Xenopus tropicalis: one gene and its partners. The protein of the gene in region 3 interacts with the protein of the main gene of each other region in a pairwise test. Links are inferred from orthologs where the notes say so. Each region holds a gene or a part of one and is shown on either strand. Other genes may lie near its edges.

The links.
Region 1: the proteins of trim32 (region 3) and ube2v1 interact in binary tests that used the Homo sapiens proteins (3 or more experiments, as listed by UniProt). The link is inferred for Xenopus tropicalis from reciprocal best matches to the Homo sapiens genes TRIM32 and UBE2V1.
Region 2: the proteins of trim32 (region 3) and abi2 interact in binary tests that used the Homo sapiens proteins (3 or more experiments, as listed by UniProt). The link is inferred for Xenopus tropicalis from reciprocal best matches to the Homo sapiens genes TRIM32 and ABI2.
Region 4: the proteins of trim32 (region 3) and sdcbp interact in binary tests that used the Homo sapiens proteins (3 or more experiments, as listed by UniProt). The two-hybrid records come from large-scale screens. The link is inferred for Xenopus tropicalis from reciprocal best matches to the Homo sapiens genes TRIM32 and SDCBP.
Region 5: the proteins of trim32 (region 3) and ptcd2 interact in binary tests that used the Homo sapiens proteins (3 or more experiments, as listed by UniProt). The two-hybrid records come from large-scale screens. The link is inferred for Xenopus tropicalis from reciprocal best matches to the Homo sapiens genes TRIM32 and PTCD2.
Region 6: the proteins of trim32 (region 3) and clip4 interact in binary tests that used the Homo sapiens proteins (3 or more experiments, as listed by UniProt). The two-hybrid records come from large-scale screens. The link is inferred for Xenopus tropicalis from reciprocal best matches to the Homo sapiens genes TRIM32 and CLIP4.
Region 7: the proteins of trim32 (region 3) and ube2u interact in binary tests that used the Homo sapiens proteins (3 or more experiments, as listed by UniProt). The link is inferred for Xenopus tropicalis from reciprocal best matches to the Homo sapiens genes TRIM32 and UBE2U.

What each region holds. Positions count from the first base shown.
Region 1 is NC_030686.2:36,460,929-36,465,220, forward strand, and holds the start of ube2v1 (ubiquitin-conjugating enzyme E2 variant 1), read right to left. Parts: upstream 2,801-4,292; 5' UTR 2,703-2,800; coding exon 2,681-2,702; intron 1-2,680. UniProt on the Homo sapiens protein: Has no ubiquitin ligase activity on its own. The UBE2V1-UBE2N heterodimer catalyzes the synthesis of non-canonical poly-ubiquitin chains that are linked through Lys-63.
Region 2 is NC_030685.2:54,227,341-54,230,840, forward strand, and holds part of abi2 (abl interactor 2), read left to right. Parts: intron 1-150; coding exon 151-309; intron 310-2,460; coding exon 2,461-2,547; intron 2,548-3,500. UniProt on the Homo sapiens protein: Regulator of actin cytoskeleton dynamics underlying cell motility and adhesion. Functions as a component of the WAVE complex, which activates actin nucleating machinery Arp2/3 to drive lamellipodia formation.
Region 3 is NC_030684.2:34,070,289-34,074,404, forward strand, and holds the start of trim32 (E3 ubiquitin-protein ligase TRIM32), read right to left. Parts: upstream 2,801-4,116; 5' UTR 2,782-2,800; intron 1-2,781. UniProt on the Homo sapiens protein: E3 ubiquitin ligase that plays a role in various biological processes including neural stem cell differentiation, innate immunity, inflammatory resonse and autophagy.
Region 4 is NC_030682.2:116,370,579-116,374,587, reverse strand, and holds the start of sdcbp (syntenin-1), read right to left. Parts: upstream 2,801-4,009; 5' UTR 2,698-2,800; intron 1-2,697. UniProt on the Homo sapiens protein: Multifunctional adapter protein involved in diverse array of functions including trafficking of transmembrane proteins, neuro and immunomodulation, exosome biogenesis, and tumorigenesis.
Region 5 is NC_030677.2:182,870,178-182,874,169, forward strand, and holds the start of ptcd2 (pentatricopeptide repeat-containing protein 2, mitochondrial), read left to right. Parts: upstream 1-1,192; 5' UTR 1,193-1,290; coding exon of another isoform or gene 1,291-1,366; 5' UTR 1,367-1,598; coding exon 1,599-1,704; intron 1,705-3,992. Other genes in the region: mrps27 (28S ribosomal protein S27, mitochondrial), read right to left, coding at 1,291-1,366. UniProt on the Homo sapiens protein: Involved in mitochondrial RNA maturation and mitochondrial respiratory chain function.
Region 6 is NC_030681.2:6,120,748-6,123,896, forward strand, and holds part of clip4 (CAP-Gly domain-containing linker protein 4), read left to right. Parts: intron 1-838; coding exon 839-903; intron 904-1,031; coding exon 1,032-1,107; coding exon of another isoform or gene 1,108-1,111; intron 1,112-3,149.
Region 7 is NC_030680.2:84,737,277-84,740,776, reverse strand, and holds part of ube2u (ubiquitin-conjugating enzyme E2 U), read left to right. Parts: intron 1-2,769; coding exon 2,770-2,827; intron 2,828-2,915; coding exon 2,916-3,001; intron 3,002-3,500. UniProt on the Homo sapiens protein: Catalyzes the covalent attachment of ubiquitin to other proteins.

The DNA of each region.
Region 1 (4,292 bases), on a different chromosome or scaffold from region 3:
AACCTGCAACTTGCAGTATCTACATTACAATCCCGAGCATGTATGGATAGCCTGGAGGTCTTTTAGTATCACAAACTATATATTAAAAAAAAAAAAACTGCTAAACCTCAAGGGAAAAGCTGTGAAAGTTACAACACTTCCTATTCGGAAAGGGGGAGGGTGAAACCTGTTGAAGAGGTAAATTCCCTGTTAAATTAAATTACCATGGCATATAGCAATGAAAGCATACATATTAGGAATTAGTTTTTATCCATAAGGAGACATCTAGGCTTGTTGAAATGGCAAATCAAGTTAGTTGCTAGTAATATTTAGAGTGAAGACACACAGAGCTACTAGTAGCAGCTACTTGTCACGGCTACTAAAATAGACAATGCTGATCATTTACTGATAATTGTCTCTATGTGTGTTTTAGCAGAGGCAATTCTCAGTATTGTCTATGGCAGGGGATTTTCTGGAGTTTAATAGCCATGAGAAAGTAGCTGCTACTAGTAGCTTAGTGTGTCTTCACCCTTATACAGGACCCAAACAGTTCTGTTTAACCTGTCCAAACTGAGGCTGAGATTCATGTTGAGACCAGACAGAATGGTCACTTATCTACCAGCTAACTGTACTGCCCAGACTTCAATCTACCTAGAAGGAAGTATTCAAGGGATTCCAGGGCACCTGAAAATAATGCCCTGGGGGTGCAGGACATTGCACGGGCACAGACTGGATGTCTAACATGACAGAATATTAATATGAAGTTATGTATTGTGCTTCCTATAGTGCCCCAGGGAACTAGGGAAGGTGCCAGTTTGTGGCCATAGGATACAGTGCATTAGCTTGATGGAGGCAGCTCCCAGTGCGGGCAGCCATGTTGTTTCCCACGTATGCGATTCACCCTCCTATGTCACAAGCATGCGCATAATGAGCGAGTTGTGGCAGGTACTTGGGGAGCTCGCTCCTGGTGAGGGCAGTCTAGTGCTGCCGGGGGCTTAAAAAAAAAAAAAAAAAAAAAAAAAAAAAAACTACTGTTTCCCCTAAACTGAGTAAAGATGGCCATACGCTGGCTGATTTCAGCTGCCAATATATCAGTCCTTTAGATCCAATGTGCCTGTGTATGGGCACCAACAATCTCCCTGTTTATCTGCCTGTGTATGGGCACCAACAATCTCCCTGTTTATCTGCCTGTGTATGGGCACCAACAATCTCCCTGTTTATCTGACTGTGTATGGGCACCAACAATCTCCCTGTTTATCTGCCTGTGTATGGGCACCAACAATCTCCCTGTTTATCTGACTGTGTATGGGCACCAACAATCTCCCTGTTTATCTGACTGTGTATGGGCACCAACAATCTCCCTGTTTATCTGCCTGTGTATGGGCACCAACAATCTCCCTGTTTATCTGCCTGTGTATGGGCGCTAACAATCTCCCTGTTTAGCTGCCTGTGTATGGGCGCTAACAATCTCCCTGTTTATCTGCCTGTGTATGGGCGCCAACAATCTCCCTGTTTATCTGCCTGTGTATGGGCGCCAACAATCTCCCTGTTTATCTGCCTGTGTATGGGCGCCAACAATCTACCTGTTTATCTGCCTGTGTATGGGCGCCAACAATCTCCCTGTTTATCTGCCTGTGTATGGGCACCGACAATCTCCCTGTTTATCTGCCCGTGTATGGGCGCTAACAATCTCCCTGTTTATCTGCCTGTGTATGGGCGCTAACAATCTCCCTTTTTATCTGCCTGTGTATGGGCACCAACAATCTCCCTGTTTATCTGCCTGTGTATGGGCACCAACAATCTCCCTGTTTATCTGCCTGTGTATGGGCGCCAACAATCTCCCTGTTTATCTGCCTGTGTATGGGCACCAGATCTTGATCGGGCAGGTTTGATTCTTCTGTCGGACCGGGGACCTCATTGATGCAGTCACTGCACTAACGGTGCCTATGCCCACTGTTTTAATTTGATAATTTGGCCCTAGGGTGGGCATATCGGGAGGAGATCCACTCTATGGGCGCCCTCGCCAAGCAAGCGTTTCTTACAGTGTAAGGCCACCTTTAGGCCACACTACTGATGGGGAAACAATTAGAAACTGAATGTAGTGCCTTTTTCTCTAGTCCTGACTGCACTATTAATCCCCTGGTTTCTGCTACATTGCTTCAGGAGTCAGTACCAGCAGAGCACATAGAATTTTCATTTGCCTATGTGGCAAAACCCAGTGGAAGTCAGTGACTATTGGGACGTTGCTGAGTAATTCTTCTGCAATAAATCCTGTTTGTGGGCGGTGTTCCCCTTTAAACGTGTGGCCCTGCAGCTGTCAAACATGTCTGATTGCCCGGCATTAGTAAGGGAGAGCCCAGGCAGCCCTCTGCAGCCGCCCAGCCCGGGGGAACAGCAGTGCAGGCAGGGCCGAGTCTTGTCACTGGCGGATTGGGAGCTGTAACACCTAGTGCTTCCCTCCCAGGCCTCCGGGGGCAGCTGATTCCGCGCTACCGGCACAAGCAGGAACCCGGGGCTCCTGACAGGGCAGAGCCGTGCGGAGAGGTGCGAAGGCCCCGCAGCAGCGCTACCCGGGCCAAGGCACCGCCCCACAGTACAGCAGGAACCCCAGAGAAGCCAGTTCCTGGCCGGCGGTGCAACCTGCCCTCAGCAAGCCCTCCCCCCGCTTCCCTGTCCCGCAGCGCCCCGTCACCCAGCTCACCCGAGACCGTGGTGGCCGCCATCTTGCCTTCGCAGTGCTCCTGAGCCGGCCTCCCAGTGACGCCACACAGGGCGGGGAGCTTCAGCCGGCTGTCAGGCAGGGAGTGGGCGGGGAGAAAGGGCTGACTCACACGCACCATAGAGACGGGAAGAGGCGGCGTCAATACGTCATTACGTGCTGCGTCTTGCGTCATAAACGAGACTGACATGCTTCATAAGGGAAATGTATGAATAGGAAAAGTGTAAATGTGTCAAAAATGAGATAGATATAAAAAAAATAAACTAAATGGGCAAATATATGGCCCAGGTATGTACCTATAGCTAGCTTCTGGGAGCAAAATGTTTTTTTAATCTCTAGGCCTTGTCTTCTTATATTGTATAAATATGTTTGTATTTTACACATTACAGTATGATGGTACAGCTTATTGTGTGATTCTAAATATGTCCAACAACTCACTGCAGAGAAAGAGAGGCTCAGGTGCACTGCCCAAGCCTTTAGCTAAGGGAGTGGATATCATGTTTTTTTTGAAAAAAACTCACTGAGCATATCGTGAGGCAGAATTCTTGATTAAAAAGTAACTTCATTGGAGCTGCCATATTGTTTCCTTTAGTACAGTACAGTATGAGGGTACAGCTTATTGTGTGCCCAGAACATTCCTTCTCTGTATATTTGTATTTATACATATGGGAGGGAGGTGCCATAATGTTTCCCTTAGACAGTACAGTATGGGGGTACAGCTTATTGTGTGCCCAGAACATTCCTTCTCTGTATATTTGTATTTATACATATGGGAGGGAGGTGCCATATTGTTTCCCTTAGACAGTACAGTATGAGCGTACAGCTTATTGTGTGCCCAGAACATTCCTTCTCTGTATATTTGTATTTATACATATGGGAGGGAGGTGCCATATTGTTTCCCTTAGACAGTACAGTATGAGGGTACAGCTTATTGTGTGCCCAGAACATTCCTTCTCTGTATATTTGTATTTATACATATGGGAGGGAGGTGCCATATTGTTTCCCTTAGACAGTACAGTATGAGGGTAGAGCTTATTGTGTGCCCAGAACATTCCTTCTCTGTATATTTGTATTTATTCATATGGGAGGGAGGTGCCATATTGTTTCCCTTAGACAGTACAGTATGAGGGTACAGCTTATTGTGTGCCCAGAACATTCCTTCCCTGTATATTTGTATTTATACATATGGGAGGGAGGTGCCATATTGTTTCCCTTAGACAGTACAGTATGAGCGTACAGCTTATTGTGTGCCCAGAACATTCCTTCTCTGTATATTTGTATTTATACATATGGGAGGGAGGTGCCATATTGTTTCCCTTAGACAGTACAGTATGAGGGTACAGCTTATTGTGTGCCCAGAACATTCCTTCTCTGTATATTTGTATTTATACATATGGGAGGGAGGTGCCATATTGTTTCCCTTAGACAGTGCAGTATGGGGGTACAGCTTATTGTGTGCCCAGAACATTCCTTCTCTGTATATTTGTATTTATACATATGGGAGGGAGGTGCCATATTGTTTCCCTTAGACAGTGCAGTATGGGGGTACAGCTTATTGTGTGCCCAGAGCACAATATTTTATATTAAGATTTGT
Region 2 (3,500 bases), on a different chromosome or scaffold from region 3:
ATCAGGCATGCCCCCAACACATATGTTTCCTTCCTCAGGAAAAGCCTTTTTGTATTTTTTTATGAATATACATAGCCTAGTAATTTGTGTCCCGATACCAAACATTTAAATAATTCCTAAGCATTGCACCATCATTTTTACACCTTTTAGGGCATCCTGCACAGTTTTACAGTATGAACAGACCAGTATCTCGGCACAATCCACCAACAATTGGAGGCTCTCTGCCCTATCGGCGCCCTCCGTCGATGACCACCCAGCCCAGCCTTCAGAACCAGATAAATGGAGGGCCTTTCTACAGCCAAAACCCAGGTAAGAGCATTTATGAAAGCATGCACCAAATGCAGGAATCTGTTATGGATTCAGCAAATCTTGTAAGTGATTACGAGTAAATGTTAATTTGCAATATTTTTTTTATATTTTTTAACGATTTGTGGGAAGCTTGGAGTTAGATGGGAATTTTTATAACGGATAGTCTTATCCCCATCACACTTTTTAAACTGCAGTGCAGATTAGTAATGGACTTAACAATTGACTTTAAAATTAGGTTACAATTTACATTTATTTCACAATTGACTACAGTTTCCTTCTCCTTTAAACAATAATTAAAGGAAAGTAATTTTGGCATTTTACTGCCAGTAGATTCGCCACATTAGTGCCATACCTGAGTAAAGAGCCCTAGAAGCTTTCTCTGTTTAAAGGACTTGTAAAGCCTACATTTGCCTACAATGTATAACAGTTGGGCACGTCTCCCCCACCCAAATGGCATCATTTGTACTGCATATATCCCCTCCACTTGCCAGCACCATCACATGTTCCTAAAGCAAATAGCAGCTTTCACCCGGTGGCCATTTTTCCTCTGATACATAATCAGATACATTTAAATCTGCAAACAGCACACACACACACAGACCCTTATTCAGCATACATTTCATCAAAAATACAGGCTCACACAGGCACAACTGTCTCTGATAAAGTTCTGATTTGTTTGAGCTGAGCTCAGGAGAGGAGGTTAGGAAAAAAAAATTGAAGTCAGCTAGAGCTGAGTTTCTATGGGAACCAGCAATGCCATTTCTTTACTGGCTGCTAGACTGGAGGGCATGTTTAGTTATCTGAGCTTAGAACAACTGAGCATGTCCACAAGCCAGACGTCAAAGCAAATTCCCAAGGTGGGGGGCAAGTGGGTTACAGGAGAAGAAGGAAATCTAAGTGATTAAGGAGATGTTGCAGCCTTACTATTAACCGCTGGACAACCAGAGTGGCAGGTATTGAAAGATTTCAAAGAGGCTGTTCACTGATTACATTTTTGTGTGTGGGATTTTCATATCCTTTAAGATAGCAGCTGCCATTTTAGCTTGATCTTCATAGCTTCCTGCTTGCAGCCCTAGCCGTTGTAGCTCAGATTACACATTCCTAAGGGTGGGGGGAGTGAGTTTTATCAAAAAATCCTGTGTTCCTTTTGATAGAGTGCAGTGTTTCTGGGAGTGCTTATGGCTGTTTTTACATAGACCATTTTGATAAAGCTTACTTAGTTTTTACCTTTCCTTCTCCTTTAATGGAAAAGTAACACTAAAAATTTTTAAGTAAAAAATCTATTCTACCCTGCCCCAATAATTGCCCTATCCTACAAACCATTTATTATTTTGAATGCTTTAGTACAAAATACCTTTTTAAACTTGGCTTTCGGTAATTTGAAGAAAGGCGATACGGTGATGCAGGGGAAGTATTGGGGGAAGCAGCCAGGTAGATTTTTTACTTCAAATTTTTTAGTGTTACTTTTCCTTTAAGGCTCTATAGTAGTCCAATGCAGAATGCCACAAATACTAAATACCAAGTTCAGCTAGATGGGGAAACAATGCAGACAGCTTCAAAGGCGTTGGTTGTTACTTGCTAGTAACACCACAGATGATCTACCAAATTCACTGGGTATCCAAGTTGGTCATTCTGCTTAATTATTTATGGCAGTGATACACGTGGAGATTAGTTGTCGTGGGCGAATTATCTCCCCACAATGCAATCCCACCTCCTTGAGAGGAAACTTTGGGCGACTTCAGCAAATCGCAGTGCCGCGTATGCCATCCCACCAGCGATTTACATTCTACCTGGTGCGGTGGCATTGCAGGGAGATTTGTTGCGCGGCGACTAATCTCCCCATGTGTCAATGCCCTTACTGTCAGTGTATGTGTATTTCATATGAAACTACCTGAAATATGTATAAATTACATTCTCTCTTGATAATGTAAGTGAGTGATTTTGTAGTGTGCCAAATCAGGTACAATAAATATTGTGTAATATAAATATTGTACAAGTACAATTAAAATCTTCCTAAATAAAAACATTTATCTCTGTGTAGTGGCCCTTTTGTGGCACATTAAATTATTTTTCTGATTGTGTTGTGTTGCAGTCTATTAGTATTTTTGTTGCAGAGCAGCCATACATTTTAATAAAACTGCTTCTTTTTAGTGTCACATGCTCCTCCTCCTCCCTCCATTCTACAAGTAACGCCACAGCTTCCTTTGATGGGATTTGTGGCAAGAGTTCAAGAAAACAGTAAGTTGTTTTTCTGCTTAATTCACATGTTCAAGTTCCACGTGAGTTCCCTTTTTCATCCAGAGCAATTAAGTGATTTAAAAGGGGAACTCCGCCCAAACATGGTTTGCTTACTGAAAGAAAATGTAATTCTAAGCAACTTTGCAATAACATTAAGTAAACATTGACAGTTGTTTTAAAGTTATTTGTAATTGCAACTGAAAGCTGTTTTTATTTATTCTTTCTGAACTAGTGACTCTTGTCAGAACCAGCAGGACAGACCCTAGAAAGGCACAGACAGATTCCCCTTTCAACAGCAATTACATTTACAAGTAACGCTAAGGCTACTGTAACAGATATGTGTACTGTCCACTTTTCTCTGCCTGCGAGAAGCTCATGTCTTATCTAACAGGCACAGCTTCAGCCTGAGTTCAGCTACAGGGAACAGAGATCAGCATGAAAAAGGTGAAAGCATGTGTTTTCAGGCCAATCACAGTCCCATGTAGCTGCACTCTGGCCAGTGCCGTGCAGCTACAGAGAGCTGCAGATAAGAGGGTATGTGGATGGTATGCCACGTGTGATTGTTGTATAAAACACTTGACTTGATGTATATTAGAGAGTTGCTTAAATTGTATTTTCTTTATTATGCTAGAAATGTTTGGGTGGCGTTTCTGTTAAGTCAGCTGATTGAACATAGATTGAACATACACTTTTGTAACTTGTCTGCTAATAGTTAAAATGCTATGCAATGCAACTTTTGACTTTTTTGCAGGAAAGTTGAAGCTACTCCATGTATAGTCCTTGCACGGTAGATAATTAGCAGTATACACAATATGTTGTGACTGTTTTGTTAGCAGGAGTCCATTATGCATTATGTTTTACAAGGGGTATACTGTCCCTTTAGGTTCTACATAAAGCACTGCTTTATGTCAAAGGCCTTAGACCCAGAGAGTCAGATTTGGTATAAATAGTAT
Region 3 (4,116 bases):
GATTCTTATTTTGCCACGTCTTTTTTTCTTCTGAGTGGCCTTTTATAATATAGCAAAAGCCCTGTTTTTAGACTGCAAGCTGTTTTGGGCAGGGCTTTCTTTAATGTGTTAGTTACCTACTACCTACTGTTCCTCTGATTCTGGAACAGTAGTACTGAGTTTAGTTATTCTGTAGTGGCCTCTGGTTATGTAGCATAATTACTAAGTTATTCAGCTGAGTGGCCTCTGGTTAAAGAACAGTAATACACATATGAGACTTACTATTCTGAATGCCTGCGACCTGGTGTTTTCTGGATAAGAGTTTTTTCAGTAATTAAAAATTATTTAAACATTAAACCCAACAGAATTTTTTGCCACCAGAATGGATTTATGTAACTTAGTGAGGATCAAGTACAAGGTACTGTTTCATTGTTACTGAGGAAAAGGAATAAATAAATAAATAAATAAATAATTTGCTTAAAATTTGTGGAATCTGTGTATAGTGGCCTTCCCATAATTTGAAGCTTTCTGGATATTGGGTTTCCAGATAAGAGATTGATACCTGCTGAGCAGCTCCTTTTTATGTTGCAGTGGTACTGAGTTTAGATATTTTTTTTAGCAAAGTAGCATCTGAAATCTGTACATTTCTAAAAGTGGCCACACACAATTTCGATCGTTCCCACCCTCCACTGACGTTCAGGGCTGAATCGTCAGATATGGGGGTAGAAACAATAGAAATTCTACCTCCTTCTGCCGATTCAGCCCTGAACCGATATTCACAGCCTTTTGCGATATCGGTCGCCTCGTCAAGCCACTATACGCGCACCGAATATCGTACGAAACTAGGTTTTGTACAAAATTATCGGTGTGTGTGTGTATGGCCGGCTTAAGGCTGATGTCCCACGGAGCGAGCTAGTCGCACAAGACAGATATCTGCTACCGCAGGCGACTAACCACTCCGAAATGCCTTTTCACCGGCAACAATAGGAGTCACTGGTAGAAAGGCCTACGCATCACTTCAGCTTTCCGAAGTCGCACAAAGTTTCCTCCTGCAGGCAACTTTGAGTGTCTTTGGAAAGTCAAAGCGATACATAGGTTTTTCCACCAGCGACTCCTATTGCTGACAGTGGGAAGGCATTTCAGAGCAATTAGTTGCTCATGGTTGCAGAGATCTATCGGGGGCGACATTGGACATTAGCTTAATATCCATAGAATCCAAAGTATGGTAACATCAGAACAAATTCCTTTCGGCTATGTTGTAATGCAATACAGTTACAAGATCCAGGTATGGGATACCATATGCGGAATCCTGTAAGCTCTAAATTAAGGGAAGCCCATCTCCAACAGAGTCAATTTTAAGCAAATAATTGTACAGGTATCGGACCACTTATCCGGAAACCCATTATCCAGAAAGTTTTGAATTACGGAAAGGCCGTCTCCCTTAGACTCCATTTCAAATAAGTCACATTTAAAAAATGATTTCCTTTTTCTCTGTAATAATAAAACAGTACCTGTACTTGATCCCAACTAAGATATAATTACCCCTTATTGGGGCAGAACAGTCCTATTGGGTTTATTTAATGGTTAAATGATTCCCTTTTCTCTGTAATTATAAAACAGTACCAGTACTTGATCCCAACTAAGATATAATTACCCCTTATTGGGGGCAGAACAGCCCTATTGGGTTTATTTAATGTTTAAATGATTCCCTTTTCTCTGTAATAATAAAACAGTATCTGTACTTGATCCTAACTAAGATATAATTACCCCTTATTGGGGGCAGAACAGCCCTATTGGGTTTATTTAATGGTTAAATGATTCCCTTTTCTCTGTAATAATAAAACAGTACTTGTACTTGATCCCAACTAAGATATAATTACCCCTTATTGGGGGCAGAACAGCCCTATTGGGTTTATTTCATGTTTAAATGATTCCCTTTTCTCTGTAATAATAAAACAGTACCTTGTACTTGATCCCAACTAAGATATAATTACCCCTTATTGGGGGTAGAACAGTCCTATTGGGTTTATTTAATGGTTAAATGATTCCCTTTTCTCTGTAATAATAAAACAGTACCTTGTACTTGATCCCAACTAAGAAATAATTACCCCTTATTGGGGGCAGAACAGCCCTATTGGGTTTATTTAATGTTTAAATGATTTTTTTTAGAAGACTTTAGGCAGTAGATCCGAATTACGGAAATATCCCTTATCCGAAAAAACCCAGGTGGCCGAGCATTCTGGATAATGGGTCCCATACCTGTAATTGTTTTTTTTTTTTTTTAAGTAAATCCTTTTTCTCTGTAATGTAAAAACAATGCATTGTACCTGGGGGAGCATTCGCTGCATGATTCCATATTTGTAGCAAATCAATACAATTGGGTTTATTTAATGTTTAAATAGTTTTTAGCAGCCTCATCTGGAAAACCCCACAGCCCATACATTGAGTATAATAAACTGCCAGTGTATGATCACAGCTGGTAAAATAATGCAGTAAAGTTGCAAATGTTCTCTACATGCATTATATTCCAAAGCAAATGCGGAAACATTATTTGATTGCTTTTATTAATATGTAGAATTTATTAAAGATCTTTCCTTTACAGCTTAATATAAAATATACATTATACTTGAATATGATTTAACAGGAACCCGTGACACATTCCCAAACCCCGGGGGGTAAAACTCCAATTGAGTCCCAATACGGCAATGCTGCGCCCCAGCCCTCCCAGCAACACAGCCGTATGGGGGCACTTCCCCCCTCCCCAGCACTTTACGTTTGCAAGGCACAACGTTCGCTTCTTACCTGCGGCAGGCAATCCGATATCACAGGTCAAAGTTCACCCGCTGACGCCACTTCCGCTCAGCCAAACTGCATGCTGGGTGTTGTAGTGTTTTCGAGGTAGAGAAATGACATGCGCCCTGCAATGTGTATCTGCTCGCTCTATACGGACAGTGCATAGGTTACGAAAAGTAATAAGCAATTTCATAACAATATGAATGAATAGCAAAGCTGGAGTGTATCCATGTTAGTCAGAATGTTGAGAATTTATTCTATATGAATAAAAAAAAATATGTAAAGAAAAATGTTTATTTGTTCAGCTGAGGTAAACAGCAACTTTGGCTGAGCAGCAGGGAGTTTGGGAAACCGGAAACTCCACTAAACGCCGATGAACACGGTCTAGCTGGAACTCAATAAAAGATTTTTGTAGAAACTAATAGCTTGAATTTTTTTATATATTTTTCAGGGAGTTTATTGCAACTTTCTAATGGCTGGGGCTAGAGCCACTGCAGGATTGGTTTTGAAGTTCTTTATTTTTCTTCAGAAAAAGTGGCAAATGCCATTCCAGGCCCCCAAATGACATAAGATTGGGGATCCGGAAATAGTTAAGGAATAGTCAACAAGAGCCACAAACTGTGCACGCTGAGAATTTTTCAACTATATGTGAGGAAAAGTTACATTTTAAGAATTCGGGTTCAGTTCAGCCGGGCACATGGATTGGGCCGAAATCCTGGCGAAAAAGGCTGAATACCAAACCGAATCCTGGATTCAGTGCATCCCTTATATATACAGGTATAGGACCCATTATCCAGAATGCTTGGGACCAAGGGTATTCCGGATAAGGGGGTCTTTCCATAATTTGGATCTCCATACCTTAAGTCTACTAAAAAATCAATAAAACATTAATTAAACCCAATAGGATTGTTTTGCATCCAATAAGGATTCGTTATATCGTAGTTGGGATCAGTTACAAGGTACTGTTTTATTTCTACATAAAAAAAGGAAATCAGTTTTAAAATTCTGAATTATTTGATTAAAATGGAGTCTATGGGAGACGGGCATTCCGTAATTCGGAGCTTTCTGGATAACGGGTTTCCGGATAAGGGGTCCAATACCTTTATATATATATCCCTAATATCTCTGCCTTCCAAAGATCTCTAAAAACACATTTATTTAGAGAAGCTTACCCTCATTTAGTTTAACATAACCTCAGTGTGCCCATTCCCACACCTTGGGGCACATTTACTAATCCACGAACGCTCCAAATGCGTCTGTGTTTTTTTCGTAATGATCGGTATTTTTGCAACTTTGCTGTCACCGTCGCGACTTTTTCGTATCTTGCATGTATTTTTCACAACT
Region 4 (4,009 bases), on a different chromosome or scaffold from region 3:
CCAGCCACAACCCCCCCAACCCCAGCACCAGCCCCAGCCCCAGCCCCAGCGATGCGTCCTAGCGACGTCGCGTGCGCGCCGACGTCACATGCGCGCCGACGTCACGTGCGCACGGGCGCAACCCGGATGTAATTGGATAAAAACTGCAGGAGGCGCGCATACCGGTATAGCGGTATGTTCAAAAATCATATCGTTTTTTTTTCAAAAACCGGTATACCGGTTAAACCGGTATACCGCCCAGCACTACTTAGGTTTACAAAGCGGTCTGCAAATCTTTATCAGCAGTTTTCAAAATTTAAAGGAGAAGGAAAGGCTAGTAAAGAGTTAATCTCAAGCTGCAGGCATACCTTCAGTTGTCTCAATAATGCCCTTAAGTCTCCCCACATTTCTCCTGTTCAGATGATCAGAAGCCAAACAGGAAGAAAAAACCCTAAGCTGTGTAAAGAAAGTTCCCATAATGCCTCACTCCTGCACAGACACCGAGACCACTGAACATGCTCAGTTAGTAAGACTATGAGTCAGCTTCCTGCTGATTGGCTCAGATCCACATTCCTAAGGGGGGTTGTGAGTTCTTAACATTCTTGAGGGAGGGGGGAGAAGGAGAGAGCAGAGAGCTGAAAGCTGCGTGTCTCTGGCACAGGAATTACAGACACAACTAATCTTTTTTCAGAGAAGTCAGTGCAGTGTTTCTGTGAGTACTTATGGCTGTATTTACATAGACCTTTCTGATAAAGCTTACTTAGTTTTTACTTCTCCTTTAAGACTGTCCCCGTAGATAAAGAGCAGTGACTGGGGGGTGAACCTGAAGGCCAAGGTGGGATTTAGGGAAAATGCCTAAATCTTCTCCTAGATCAGTGCTGTGCAACATTTTCTTGGAAAAGTATGGCCACGACCATAATGTGACTAAATGACTAGCGTGTCCCTATAAGATGACGCCTGGGACAGCTAAACTAAGCTGTGTCCAACACAGCTGCTGTATGGTAAATGTCCTGTGTCTACAACAGAGATAGATTCAAGTTCTGGTGGCTCATAAAATAATAATAATAAAAACAGAGTAAGTAAATTTAGAGTTGTTAATGGCTAGATTTAATTATATGCGTCACCTGTAATTAGCACTGACCAGTTGATTATATGTGCTGATTATGAGAGACACAAGTAAATATAAATGTCGATTTACATTTTCGCCGGTGGGATGGCATTTCGGGGAGATTAGTCGCCCGAGACACAGGAGATTTGTTGCGGGCGACTAATCTCCCTGTGTGCCAGAGCCCTTAGAATCCGAACCAAACCACTGAAAAAAGCTACAGATGCAGAATGTGGCCTTCAGATGGACATATACATACACAAACCTGCATTCACAGATATATAGTGCCACATAATGTTTCCCCTACACACACCCCCAACCAAATGATCACGTGACCAGAAGCATGCACCCACAATACTGATCCTGACTCACATTAAATAAAGTGTGCTAACCAACGACGTTCAGCAGGCAGGAAACCCAGCCTGCAAATTACCAGTTTGTAAATTCCACTGATGTAGGTGCTTATTAATAGAAATAGTACTTTTGGCATGGCCACATTCATGTAATTCTTTAGGCTGCCACCTTACACGGTCAACGGTAAAAATGTCACAGAAAAAAGTCACTTTAACTTGTGATCTTCCTCCATTAGAGGTGTCTGTAGCACCTTCCCTAAACTCATCTACACAACTGTGCCCAAGGTCTCTCACACTTCCTCCTGTCTCTCACCTTATTTAAAGACGATGTTAGTGAAACCAAAGGCCTAAAACACATTTTTTTAACCCTACATTAATGTCTATACCAGATAATCTGGTGTTTAAGAATGCCGTTCGGTCACATGACATGGCTTAGTCCTCCCAAATCCCTTCTGGGTATTGGGGACTCAAAATAGGCAAATGGCTCAGCGGAAACAAGATTTTAAAGGAATCCAAATCACCTCACTTGACCTCTGGCCAATGCCATGGCACCTATTGCTCTATGGATGGTCCCACCATTAGAAATAGCCACACAGGAGAGCGCTGGGCAAGCGTATGTAAGAAATAGAATGGCAAAGTTAGTGAATAAAGAGGCCAAAGTGAGTGAGACAGAAAAGGTGGATTTGTATTACTTAGTCATATCAACCAACTACCCTCCTGTGTTTCTCAAAAAATGTCTATATCTTCTATTCCCCCTTTATGGCAGCTTTTAAGACCCTCAAATGAACATGGGGCCCCAATAAATACGCCCTTTATGCCCCAACTGGAGCTGGTCCCCTAATGGGGCGTAATCACTGGCATAACCAGACATCATTGGGCCCACAGGAAAATTGATATTGGGGACCCCCTAAAATTAAATAAGAATAAGCCCTTCACAAACATTCAGTGAAAGTGTTTATGAGCGGCCCACCCGGCCTCAGGAGTCGCACCCCCCCCCCCCCCCCCCCCTTCCTTAATAGTTCCACCCACGGCCCGTACTACCGCCCAATGAGCTGCCGGGGGGCTCCGGCTCCAGTCACACCTGGGGGACACTGAATGGGCACACCTGCCTGGGAAGCACAACAGCGATGGGGGGGGGGGGGAGAACAAAACTGAGTTGTATGGACCTAAGGGAGGATAATAACCACCCTCTGCCTTGCTGCTGGTGGGACAGCCCAAAATAATGTTTCTGTGAAGAGAAGCTGTAAGGGGGACACTTACCTGCCGGCAGGAGAATAACTCGAAGTGGAAGCCCTTCCCGTTAGTTGCTAACTAGTCCTCCCCACAGCTGCCTTCTCCCGACCCGTCTCTTCACAGCACTGACGTCACGGCACGGAGATGGCGCTGACGGAAGACAAAGGCAGTCGCACACTCGGGCAGAGCAGGGGAGAGCACAGGGAGGAGGGGTGGGCGGGGCTAAGGCGGGAGCAGGAAGGAGGGGTGGGCGGGGTTCAAGGCGGGTGACGTCATTTTCCGAAAAGTCGGCCCCGTGACTGTTGCCAAGGGTAACGGGAAGTTGAAGACTCCGGGGTGGGGTGTTGCTATTTTAATATTCCCATTTCCTCCATTCTTGTTTTCATGAGTTAAACACAGAGAACACAGTCATTTGTTAGGAGCTATCCCCTACCTAGCCGGGAAAAAGTGCGACCCCGCCCCCCCAAGATTGTAAAGGGAAATTTATTGTGCCGGGCCCGGCCCCTTTTTCTTCTGGGTTTTTATTGATATGTAATTTGTATGTTTTATACCATTCTGCTATACAGCACTGCAGAGTGTGTTGGCTCTTTGTAAATGTTTATAGTAAAGGGGGAATGAATGTCCATCACTAGGGTTGCAGGCTGGCTAGTAAAAAATATATAATTAATAGGGAAAACAAAAAAATATAGAAAAGCTGGTGTTTTCCCAGAAAAAGTGGGAGCCCTACCCCTCACACGCATTCTAATAATAACAGGACTGACACAGGGCTGATGTGCCTCCCACACTAACCAACATGCAGTGCAGCTTCTCTCTGTCCCAGCTCCTATACCTAGCCCCTATATACAAGCCTGGGGCCCATAACAAATTTACTGGCAACATACTTGTCTGTAAATTTATGATAACTATTCCATCCACCCCAGGCCTGCCTCCCATCAGCCCTTGCAGCTTCCAAAGAGACTAGCTCTACTTACAAAATGGCCTTCCAGTTCAGCCTGACTACCCTCTTGCGCCATAACCCTTTCCCTTTATGTCACATCCCACTCCTTTGTGCCCACCCTGCTCTCTCATAGCTCCGCTCCTGCCATTAAAATAACTCTTCAAAGGTGGCAAAGCTATCATGGATAAGGGTTGCTACCTTTTTCTGTGGCTAGTACTAGCATTTGGGTTGGTGGGCGGGAAGTGACATTTGAGGGTGTTGCAAGGGTCAGGGAAATGGGCAGACTGGGCAGGGGAAAGGTGCATGGAGCCAGTAAAGGTGGTCATACACATGCAGATTGTAGATGCCGATATCGGTCCCTTGGAAATCGGCCAGATATTGATCGGGCAGGTTAAAAAATTC
Region 5 (3,992 bases), on a different chromosome or scaffold from region 3:
TTCTCTGGTAATTCTAGAATAACGATCCTGATCTTGGCTGGTGTTTTACCAGCTAAGATGCTAAAAATACTGGGCAGGTGACAATCCTATATGTGACATATGCACTGGGGTCTGGGGATGTGGCACTGTTTAAAATAAACATTGGCCATTACCGTCTCCTAAAATATGTAGATGTAGATACATACATATACATCCCACTTCCTGCATCAATAGCTCTAGTGTGCAGCCCGGCACCTACAGAAGGATGAAATATGGCTTGTGCTGTTTTGAAAATCATGCACAACGGGCAGACTGCAGTGCCGACAGGGGCAAGTCAGTTCTCTCCTTGCCTCCTGCCAAATAGAAGGTGATAAGTACAGGGCTACTTTGCATAGCATGTCTGACTGGTGTGTCTGAATGATGCATAACTTAAGGCAGGGCTCCCCAACCTTTCTTACTCGTGAGCCACAGCCAAATGTAAAAAGACTTGGAGAGCAACACAAGCACCATAAAAGTTCATGGAGGTGCCAAATAAAGGCTAAGATTGGCTATTAGGCAGCCTCTATGCACACTATCAGCTTACCAGAGGTTTATTTGGTAGGAAATCTTGTTTTTATTCAACCAAAACTTGCCCCCCAGTCAGGAATTCAAAAATAACTACCTGGTTTGGGGGCACTGGGAGCAACATCCAAGGGGTTGGGGAGCAACATGTTGCCCCTGAGCCACTGGTTGGGGATCACTTAAGGGAACAGAAGTGGGACATCAGTGTGGACCCCCTAGCCTGACACTCATGAATGCTGTTTTTGGGGAGGAAGGAAGGTACTTGCCCTGCAGTGACAGGGGCTGAGGACAGGGCTGGGTGCAAGGTTAATGTGGGTGCTTGCTTGAAAGTTAATGTCATTTGTATGGGAAGTTTATCAAAATAAATCCAGCATGCCTATTGTACCAAACTGCTCAGCTAGTGTATCAGGCTTTTCCCTGATTACAAATACACAATGTTGGGAAGTGGGGTATATACATGATACATGGGTAAAGGGGCACCAAGAACGTGTGTATTAAACTTTGTACAACAAATAAAAACCAACAGACAAGGGGAAGTTTAGCTCCGAGGAGAGAGAGAACTCTTCACCCTGTAACTATAATATAATAATATGACGGTGCATCGAGCGGCTCCAGAGCGAATGTCATTCTCCCCGCACAAGCCCCAGCACAGAAAAGCAGCTACGGATCAGCCACTCGGGCTCTTTCAGACACAGCGGGAGAATATACAGTCTGAGGAGTCTTCATGCACCGAAATTCATACACCGATACCTGTCACTAAGCTGCCGAGCGAGGATAACCGGGACTTGGAAACCAACACACGCCGACACAGCATGGAGGCCGCCATCTTGGAATATACCACGTCGTGCTGTCAGCTGTAGGGGGAAGCAAAGAGAATGGCTGCATCTACGTGCAGTATGCCGTTGAAAGCTCACCCCTCTAACTTATAATAAGATATTAGAACTTTGAACATTTATTCACTAGAGGAGCTGAGTGGTTTAAGCTTACGGACTGCCAATAAAATCACCAAGGCCGGAATAGGTATTACCCCTCTGCAGTTGGTGCGGCCAGGGGACACAATGGCGCTGCTGGGCTCCTGGACTGCCCAACGGTGGCTTCTGGAGAATGGTGGCCGCTCGCTACTCCGTGCTGGGGCCCAGCTGGCTCTGTGCTGCAGCCTCCAAGGTAATCAGCTCCTCCGGGCAGCTATGGGAGCTCACTGGCCTCTCACTGCCTCACAGCTATGGGAGCTCACTGGCCTCTCACTGCCTCACAGCTATGGGAGCTCACTGGCCTCTCACTGCCTCACAGCTATGGGAGCTCACTGGCCTCTCACTGCCTCACAGCTATGGGAGCTCACTGGCCTCTCACTGCCTCACAGCTATGGGAGCTCACTGGCCTCTCACTGCCTCACGGCTATGGGAGCTCACTGGCCTCTCACTGCCTCACGGCTATGGGAGCTCACTGGCCTCTCACTGCCTCACGGCTATGGGAGCTCACTGGCCTCTCACTGCCTCACGGCTATGGGAGCTCACTGGCCTCTCACTGCCTCACGGCTATGGGAGCTCACTGGCCTCTCACTGCCTCACGGCTATGGGAGCTCACTGGCCTCTCACTGCCTCACGGCTATGGGAGCTCACTGGCCTCTCACTGCCTCACGGCTATAGGAGCTCACTGGCCTCTCACAGCTATGGGAGCTCACTGGCCTCTCACGGCTATAGGAGCTCACTGGCCTCTCACTGCCTCACAGCTATAGGAGCTCACTGGCCTCTCACAGCTATAGGAGCTCACTGGCCTCTCACTGCCTCACAGCTATAGGAGCTCACTGGCCTCTCACAGCTATAGGAGCTCACTGGCCTCTCACAGCTATAGGAGCTCACTGGCCTCTCACAGCTATGGGAGCTCACTGGCCTCTCACAGCTATGGGAGCTCACTGGCCTCTCACTGCCTCACGGCTATAGGAGCTCACTGGCCTCTCACTGCCTCACAGCTATAGGAGCTCACTGGCCTCTCACTGCCTCACGGCTATAGGAGCTCACTGGCCTCTCACAGCTATGGGAGCTCACTTGCCTCTCACTGCCTCACGGCTATGGGAGCTCACTGGCCTCTCACTGCCTCACGGCTATGGGAGCTCACTGGCCTCTCACGGCTATGGGAGCTCACTGGCCTCTCACTGCCTCACGGCTATGGGAGCTCACTGGCCTCTCACTGCCTCACGGCTATGGGAGCTCACTGGCCTCTCACTGCCTCACGGCTATGGGAGCTCACTGGCCTCTCACTGCCTCACGGCTATGGGAGCTCACTGGCCTCTCACTGCCTCACGGCTATGGGAGCTCACTGGCCTCTCACAGCTATGGGAGCTCACTGGCCTCTCACTGCTTCTTCCTCTAACTGAAGGGCCTCCGTACCCCCCAAGCGCCTGTTTGTAAAGGTCTATGCTAGAAAGGTGAAAAAGTTAGTTGAGTGCTGTTGTTTTCCTTTCACTTGTATAAATGGTATGCATTGTTACCCCTATAATAAGCTTTGGGAAGCCTTGCTAGTGCATTTATTCATAATGGTGTATTTTCACATTAACACATAAAATATCTGACCAATATCACAGGAGGCCACTAATCAGGTGGGTTAAAAGATTTTGTGTAGCGCCCGAGCAAAATCTGCCTTCAGAGCTTAATCAGCAGAAGGAGGTAGAAATCCTATTGTTTCTACCTCCATATCTGCTGTTTCAGCCTTGAAGGTTAGTGGCGATTGGAAGATTGAAAATCGCCAGGTGTGGTCACCTTTACCTTCCAATTTGTGCCTGTATGTTACCCAACCACTTAGATTGTAAGCTCTACGGGGCAGGCACCTCCTTCCTACTGTGTCTCATACCACATGGCACTTACTCTCTGTGTATTTATATATATTTATTGTATTTATTTATTATAACACTAGTCCTCCCTGTGTGTAATTTTGTATTCTGTAAGATTGTACAGCGCTGCGTACCCTTGTGGCGCTTTATAAACAAAGTTATACATACATACATACATACATACATACATTGGTATAACTCTAGTCTCTATTATTTGACACTAATTAGACCATGATGCTACCTGTGCAGAATACAGCCTGTATATAAACAAGACTGACATCCATTACATTTAGAAATACATACATGTGCTGAAGGAAGGAACCTCCTTTTTAATAGCCATGCAGTCTGTGTTATTTATTGACAATTAGCCATGCAGGTTTTAAATGTATCCTGTTTTAAAGAGGTAAAATGGCAAGTCAATGACACTAGGCGATTAGTCCCCCGCAATATATATCGTCTTCTGTGTGTAACTAATCTCCTGCATGTTTTTCCCCACTGGCAATGGTGAGAATCGCCAGTGGGGAAACATGAGTGGCTACTTTCCGAAGTAGCCCTAAGTTTCCTCGAGGCAACTTCGGCTACTTTGCAAAGCTAAAGCAACGCCAATGCAAAATATAAGTCACCT
Region 6 (3,149 bases), on a different chromosome or scaffold from region 3:
GATACCATAAAACTATGGCACATAGGGATTCCCCTGTACTAAGCACAATTCAGCAGGAACAGCCCCCTAAGTTTGCTCATAGCCTGTACAGAGAGATACCATAAAACTATGGCAGGATAGGGATTCCCCTGTACTAGGCACAATTCAGCAGGAACAGCCCCCTAAGTTTGCTCATAGCCTGTACAGAGAGATACCATAAAACTATGGCACATAGGGATTCCCCCTGTACTAAGCACAATTCAGCAGGAACAGCCCCCTAAGTTTGCCCATAGCCTGTACAGAGAGATACCATAAAACTATGGCAACATAGGGATTCCCCTGTACTAAGCACAATTCAGCAGGAACAGCCCCCTAAGTTTGCTCATAGCCTGTACAGAGAGATACCATAAAACTATGGCACATAGGGATTCCCCTGTACTAAGCACAATTCAGCAGGAACAGCCCCCTAAGTTTGCCCATAGCCTGTACAGAGAGATACCATAAAACTATGGCACATAGGGATTCCCCTGTACTAAGCACAATTCAGCAGGAACAGCCCCCTAAGTTTGCTCATAGCCTGTACAGAGAGATACCATAAAACTATGGCACATAGGGATTCCCCTGTACTAAGCACAATTCAGCAGGAACAGCCCCCCATTATTGCTTGTGTGTATTATCTGTCTATCGTCACTCAGTATATCTAATACATATTCTTCAATAAAGCAATGTGAATATTGTGTGTATATAAGCGAGTGAGTGGCAGTTACGTTGCTGCGGGGGGGGGGGGGGCAATAGTAGAGAATATTATTGGTTGTACAGTGCGTATCTATTAACCCTATCACTGCCTTCTGCCATGCAGGGTGTCCGGCTCAGTAGACTCCCTCTCAGAAATCCCGGCAAGCAAACTCAATCATTCTTTCCCAGGTAGGTACCGGTGCTGGATCTGTAGTTAGTTGCTAAGGATTCTGGGACTTGTAGTCCCCATCAGCTCTTAATCAAGCCTGTAAAGCGTTAAAGGGAAACCTATAGGTGTAACGGCCTCTTTCCTGCAGGATTCAGGCGGAGTTACAGTTCAACATCAACCCGAGCGTCGCAGAGTGAGGCCGACCGGAGACATTCCCTGGGCAGGTAAAGCCTGAGTCTGCCGCCTTGTGTGCTGAGCCCTACCCACCGTGCAGCCGCAGGGGGAATCTTCAGCATCTGATTGGCTGCCTTTAGATGCAGGCGTCTCCCTATTGGTCAGTTTCCCCCCAAAGGTGCTGCACGAGGTTTATAGTATTATTCATTCAGTATTTATTCTGTGGGGGTGCCTGGGCCCCCACTAATGTAACAGCAATGTGCTACAGTTTCCCCGCCCCCCTCTGGCTTCCGGCCAATGGGAATCACGTGCACTGTTTCTATTGTCTTATAAAACCTTTTCTCTCAGAGCTGTAGGGGGCGCCCTCGTACCAGAAACCATGGATTCTCATTTATACCGTCCCTTTATCTCTGTGTTTCTATTATAGCGGGCAGAGGGGCTCGTGTCACTGACCTTATTACCCACGTCCCTTCTGATTGGCTCTCATGTCATCCTGTAGCCAGTGCGGCACTAACATGGGGCTTGTCAGAGTGATACTGTTTCATTAATGGCAGATACATTGAGTCCTGATGATATTCTGGATAAGCCCAATTCAGCAGGAACAGCCCCCTAAGTTTGCCCATAGCCTGTACAGAGAGATACCATAAAACTATGGCACATAGGGATTCCCCTGTACTAAGCACAATTCAGCAGGAACAGCCCCCTAAGTTTGCCCATAGCCTGTACAGAGAGATACCATAAAACTATGGCACATAGGGATTCCCCTGTACTAAGCACAATTCAGCAGGAACAGCCCCCTAAGTTTGCTCATAGCCTGTACAGAGAGATACCATAAAACTATGGCACATAGGGATTCCCCTGTACTAAGCACAATTCAGCAGGAACAGCCCCCTAAGTTTGCTCATAGCCTGTACAGAGAGATACCATAAAACTATGGCACATAGGGATTCCCCTGTACTAAGCACAATTCAGCAGGAACAGCCCCCAAGTTTGCCCATAGCCTGTACAGAGAGATACCATAAAACTATGGCACATAGGGATTCCCCTGTACTAAGCTCAATTCAGCAGGAACAGCCCCCTAAGTTTGCTCATAGCCTGTACAGAGAGATACCATAAAACTATGGCACATAGGGATTCCCCTGTACTAAGCTCAATTCAGCAGGAACAGCCCCCTAAGTTTGCTCCTAGCCTGTACAGAGAGATACCATAAAACTATGGCACATAGGGATTCCCCTGTACTAAGCACAATTCAGCAGGAACAGCCCCCTAAGTTTGCTCATAGCCTGTACAGAGAGATACCATAAAACTATGGCACATAGGGATTCCCCTGTACTAAGCACAATTCAGCAGGAACAGCCCCCAAGTTTGCCCATAGCCTGTACAGAGAGATACCATAAAACTATGGCACATAGGGATTCCCCTGTACTAAGCACAATTCAGCAGGAACAGCCCCCAAGTTTGCCCATAGCCTGTACAGAGAGATACCATAAAACTATGGCACATAGGGATTCCCCTGTACTAAGCACAATTCAGCAGGAACAGCCCCCTAAGTTTGCTCATAGCCTGTACAGAGAGATACCATAAAACTATGGCACATAGGGATTCCCCTGTACTAAGCACAATTCAGCAGGAACAGCCCCCTAAGTTTGCTCATAGCCTGTACAGAGAGATACCATAAAACTATGGCACATAGGGATTCCCCTGTACTAAGCACAATTCAGCAGGAACAGCCCCCTAAGTTTGCTCATAGCCTGTACAGAGAGATACCATAAAACTATGGCACATAGGGATTCCCCTGTACTAAGCACAATTCAGCAGGAACAGCCCCCTAAGTTTGCTCATAGCCTGTACAGAGAGATACCATAAAACTATGGCACATAGGGATTCCCCTGTACTAAGCACAATTCAGCAGGAACAGCCCCCTAAGTTTGCACATAGCCTGTACAGAGAGATACCATAAAACTATGGCACATAGGGATTCCCCTGTACTAAGCACAATTCAGCAGGAACAGCCCCCTAAGTTTGCTCATAGCCTGTACAGAGAGATACCATAAAACTATGGCACATAGGGATTCCCCTGTACTAAGCACAA
Region 7 (3,500 bases), on a different chromosome or scaffold from region 3:
AAGGAAGAATGGGGGGGGGGGGGGGTGTTCCTGATCTTCTCTTTGATGGAACGTGGTAGAATGCCACTGCAGGGGAGCACTGAACCATACACTTATCAGTAGAAGTCCTAAGGCTGGCCCAAATCTTTTAAAACTTGTGTGGCTTGATTGCAAATCTGTAAAGACTTGAGTGGCCTAAGTGCAATATCTAGGTTTCTCACCAGAGGGCAACAGATCCTGTGAAAGGGAAAAAAAACTGTAATAAAGAAACAGTTTGTTGGTTGAGTGGTGTGTGCTGCTCTTTCTGAATACATTAAAGCTCTACATATTAAGTTTTACTAAACTTTTTTTATTTACATAGGAAATATAAAACTTAATAGTGCTTTATTGCTATATAACAGGTCAAACAAGCCTTGCCGCACTGTCTTACGTTAACAACATTTTTTGGTAGTGATGGTTTAGGGACAGAGTGCCAAACAAGGTATAAATACTCTTGCTGTCCAAGACACAAGTTCAAAGTCTTTAGACAAACAATATCCTCATCGAAAAGCTGCTCTTTGCAGTGTGCATCCAGCCTTTTAAGCTGCACTGTGAAGATCTGTCTGCATCTTTTTCTTTACTATACAGCTGCCTTCATTTGCCAATGCTGTATTCATAAGCCACTTTGATGCTGCTTTCTGTACCTTGTGGTGCATTTTTAATCAGGTGCAATATGTAGAGTCCATGCACTTGTGCCTGTGGGCTTAGTAAATAAGCCCTATAGTGTAAAATATTACCAAATCCACTTTTTTGGTAACTGACCAAATCACAACTTTGAATGAAGCATTTGGCCAAACTCTGAACCAAATCTGAACCATAATTTGCATTTGTGCTTGTCATATACTTTGTTTCCTCCAAATCCCACTGAAAAAGGCTTAGATTTTGCAAATCCTCAACCAAATCCAGGATTCAGTGCATCTCAATAATAGTCCTTGTGAAGAGTATATATGAAACTTAAGTAATATTATATCATTTGATGCACCTTATAAATTAGGTAAATAAGGTATCTAATGCATATTAGTGATCACATAACTCATAAAAGTTCCTACAAAATAATTTTTCTAAAATTTCTAGTACTAGTGAAGAGTGTGCAGTGGTCTGTTTTCTAAGCCAATAACTAAAAAGCTGTCAGCAGAAATATATAGATAATATTTGAAACAGCATTCAGTTGTCACTGGTGTCAAAACGGACATGTACTTTGAATGAAGAATGCAGATAACACTGATTTAGCATTGGCCTGTGTCTGGAGTTTTATCGAACTGATGCACAAAATGAAATTAATATGTTATAATATAATCGTAAACTAATGCCCCTTACTCAGGCATATGAATCAGTAAAGCAGTGAAGGTATTTAAAGCTTAACACCTTCACTGCTTTCCTTTTAATACCTTCACTGCTTTACTGGTCCCTATGTCTGACGTAGGAGCGTGCCCCAAATTGTTACACATGTTGTGCCAGTACATTTTTTTTAATTATTGCATAAGAATAGGGGGTGCTGATCCCTTGTTTGTGTCCTGAGCACTGGGTTACAAATTTTGGAAAGGCCAGGGTGTGCGGTGAGTACATTGACGTCTTTGTAGGCCCCAAAGTATGATCAGCTTAATTTGATATGATGATCTGCCTGCTTTGACCCAGTATGTGGGAGGCCAAATTGGGCCTAAATCTGCCTGTTTGATTCCAATTAAGAAGATCTGCTGTGTATGGCCATCTTGATATTTACATGGCAACAAATGAAGGATAACACTGCATGATTAGAAATTATTCCTTTGCTAATTAGTGAACTGGCTTTGTATTTTATTTTTCTTGCAGGTTATAAAGAATATACCAAAAAGAAAAAAGAGCACCCCTTAGGTGATCTTTATTTAGACTCCAATCAGTTGCACCATTCCCCCCAACACCAAACAGGTAAATTAATGCCCAGAGACAAGATAAATAGAATTAAAGCTTAACTTTTATTTACATAAATAAAATCCCTATATAAATTCCTAAAAAAACATGAATTAAAAAACCCGTATTGTGACACATTCTTGTCATCACTAAGGGGTAATCATGGGTATAAGGCGAAAACAAACAATTAGTACTAATGCAACCCAAGTGGTGAATTTGATACTTTTGTCCCCACCTTATTTAGCAACTTGTATCACTCTGTCTTAAATTCCCCATCCAAATCATGGACGCTAATATAATCTCAACAGAGGCTTTGCAACAATTGTATTAACATCATCGTTTTTTAGTATCAAGTAATCCTTTTTAGTGCAGATGCCAGAGTCACGCTGTCCCTTTTTGTTTCAATCAATTAACAGCAAGTACACCTAGGTATCGTGTATTTCCTTCAGAGTCATCCCCCAATCACATTAGCCATCCACATTAATAGTTTAACAGAAATTATGTAGGACAAATTCCCCTCAGTCCCAACCTTCAACCCCACCAACAGGTCACCCTCGCACTTAAAACAGGCGCCGTCAACACCCCTTCTCCTCCCCCTTCTGAACAAAATAAAAGTTTTTAAATAAAAGTTAAGCTTTCATTCTATTTATCATGTCTCTGGACATTCATTTACCTGTTTGGTGTTGGGGGGAATGGTGCTCTTTTTTCTTTGTGGTATATACTTATTTGATGCTCCGTATGCATATTACCCTCTCTTTCTCAATTGATGTGATACACTCTCATGTGGATGGTGTAATTATGCACCTGAGATCTGATATTTTTTTTGTGTGGAAGGTGCAAATATTCCTCTCTCATATATTTCAGGTTATAATGAAGCAACTTTCAATACAGGAACATCCTCACAGTGGAATTACAACAAACAGTATGTTTTAATTACATGTTTATTTCTGGAACAATATGAAATATGAATATGTGAAATGTTCAGAAATACACAGTTTTCTCTCTTGCAGTTTAATAATCCAGAATTCTGAAACAACCCCCAAGCATATCTTATTAGAGATGGATACCCAGTTGCACACACTCTGCAGTTTATCAGGTAATTCATGTGTAATTTATAAACAAGCTAACTAACTATTTATGTGATATATAATAGTCTGTAATATTCACATTTATGTAACATAATTAGACTAAATAAACAGGCTGTCTTCATTCATGTAATCAAGTAGGCCTATATAGCTCACGATATAGCTGAAGAGTATGCACATAAGTGATATGGCCCTCTCATTGTAAAAGTCCTGACCGACAATGCTCTTTAATTTCTTCTTAAACATTTTAAACTTGTGTGCGCATTTTTAAAAACATTGTGCTTAGTTCAGAATAGATACAAAATGTATTGCTTTCAAACAAAATTCTTGGCATGCACACCACAGTTTGTTGTGTGCACTGGCCTCAAAACGTGTGTGTATAATACATTGCAACTTTACTCCCTTTTTATCATTTATTCATTGATAGAAGGACCAGGTGGAAGGTCTCAGAGCTAAGCAACAGGTTTCCAAAGAGCTCAGTGATCCCCTTACATAGCCCAGACTTGCCAG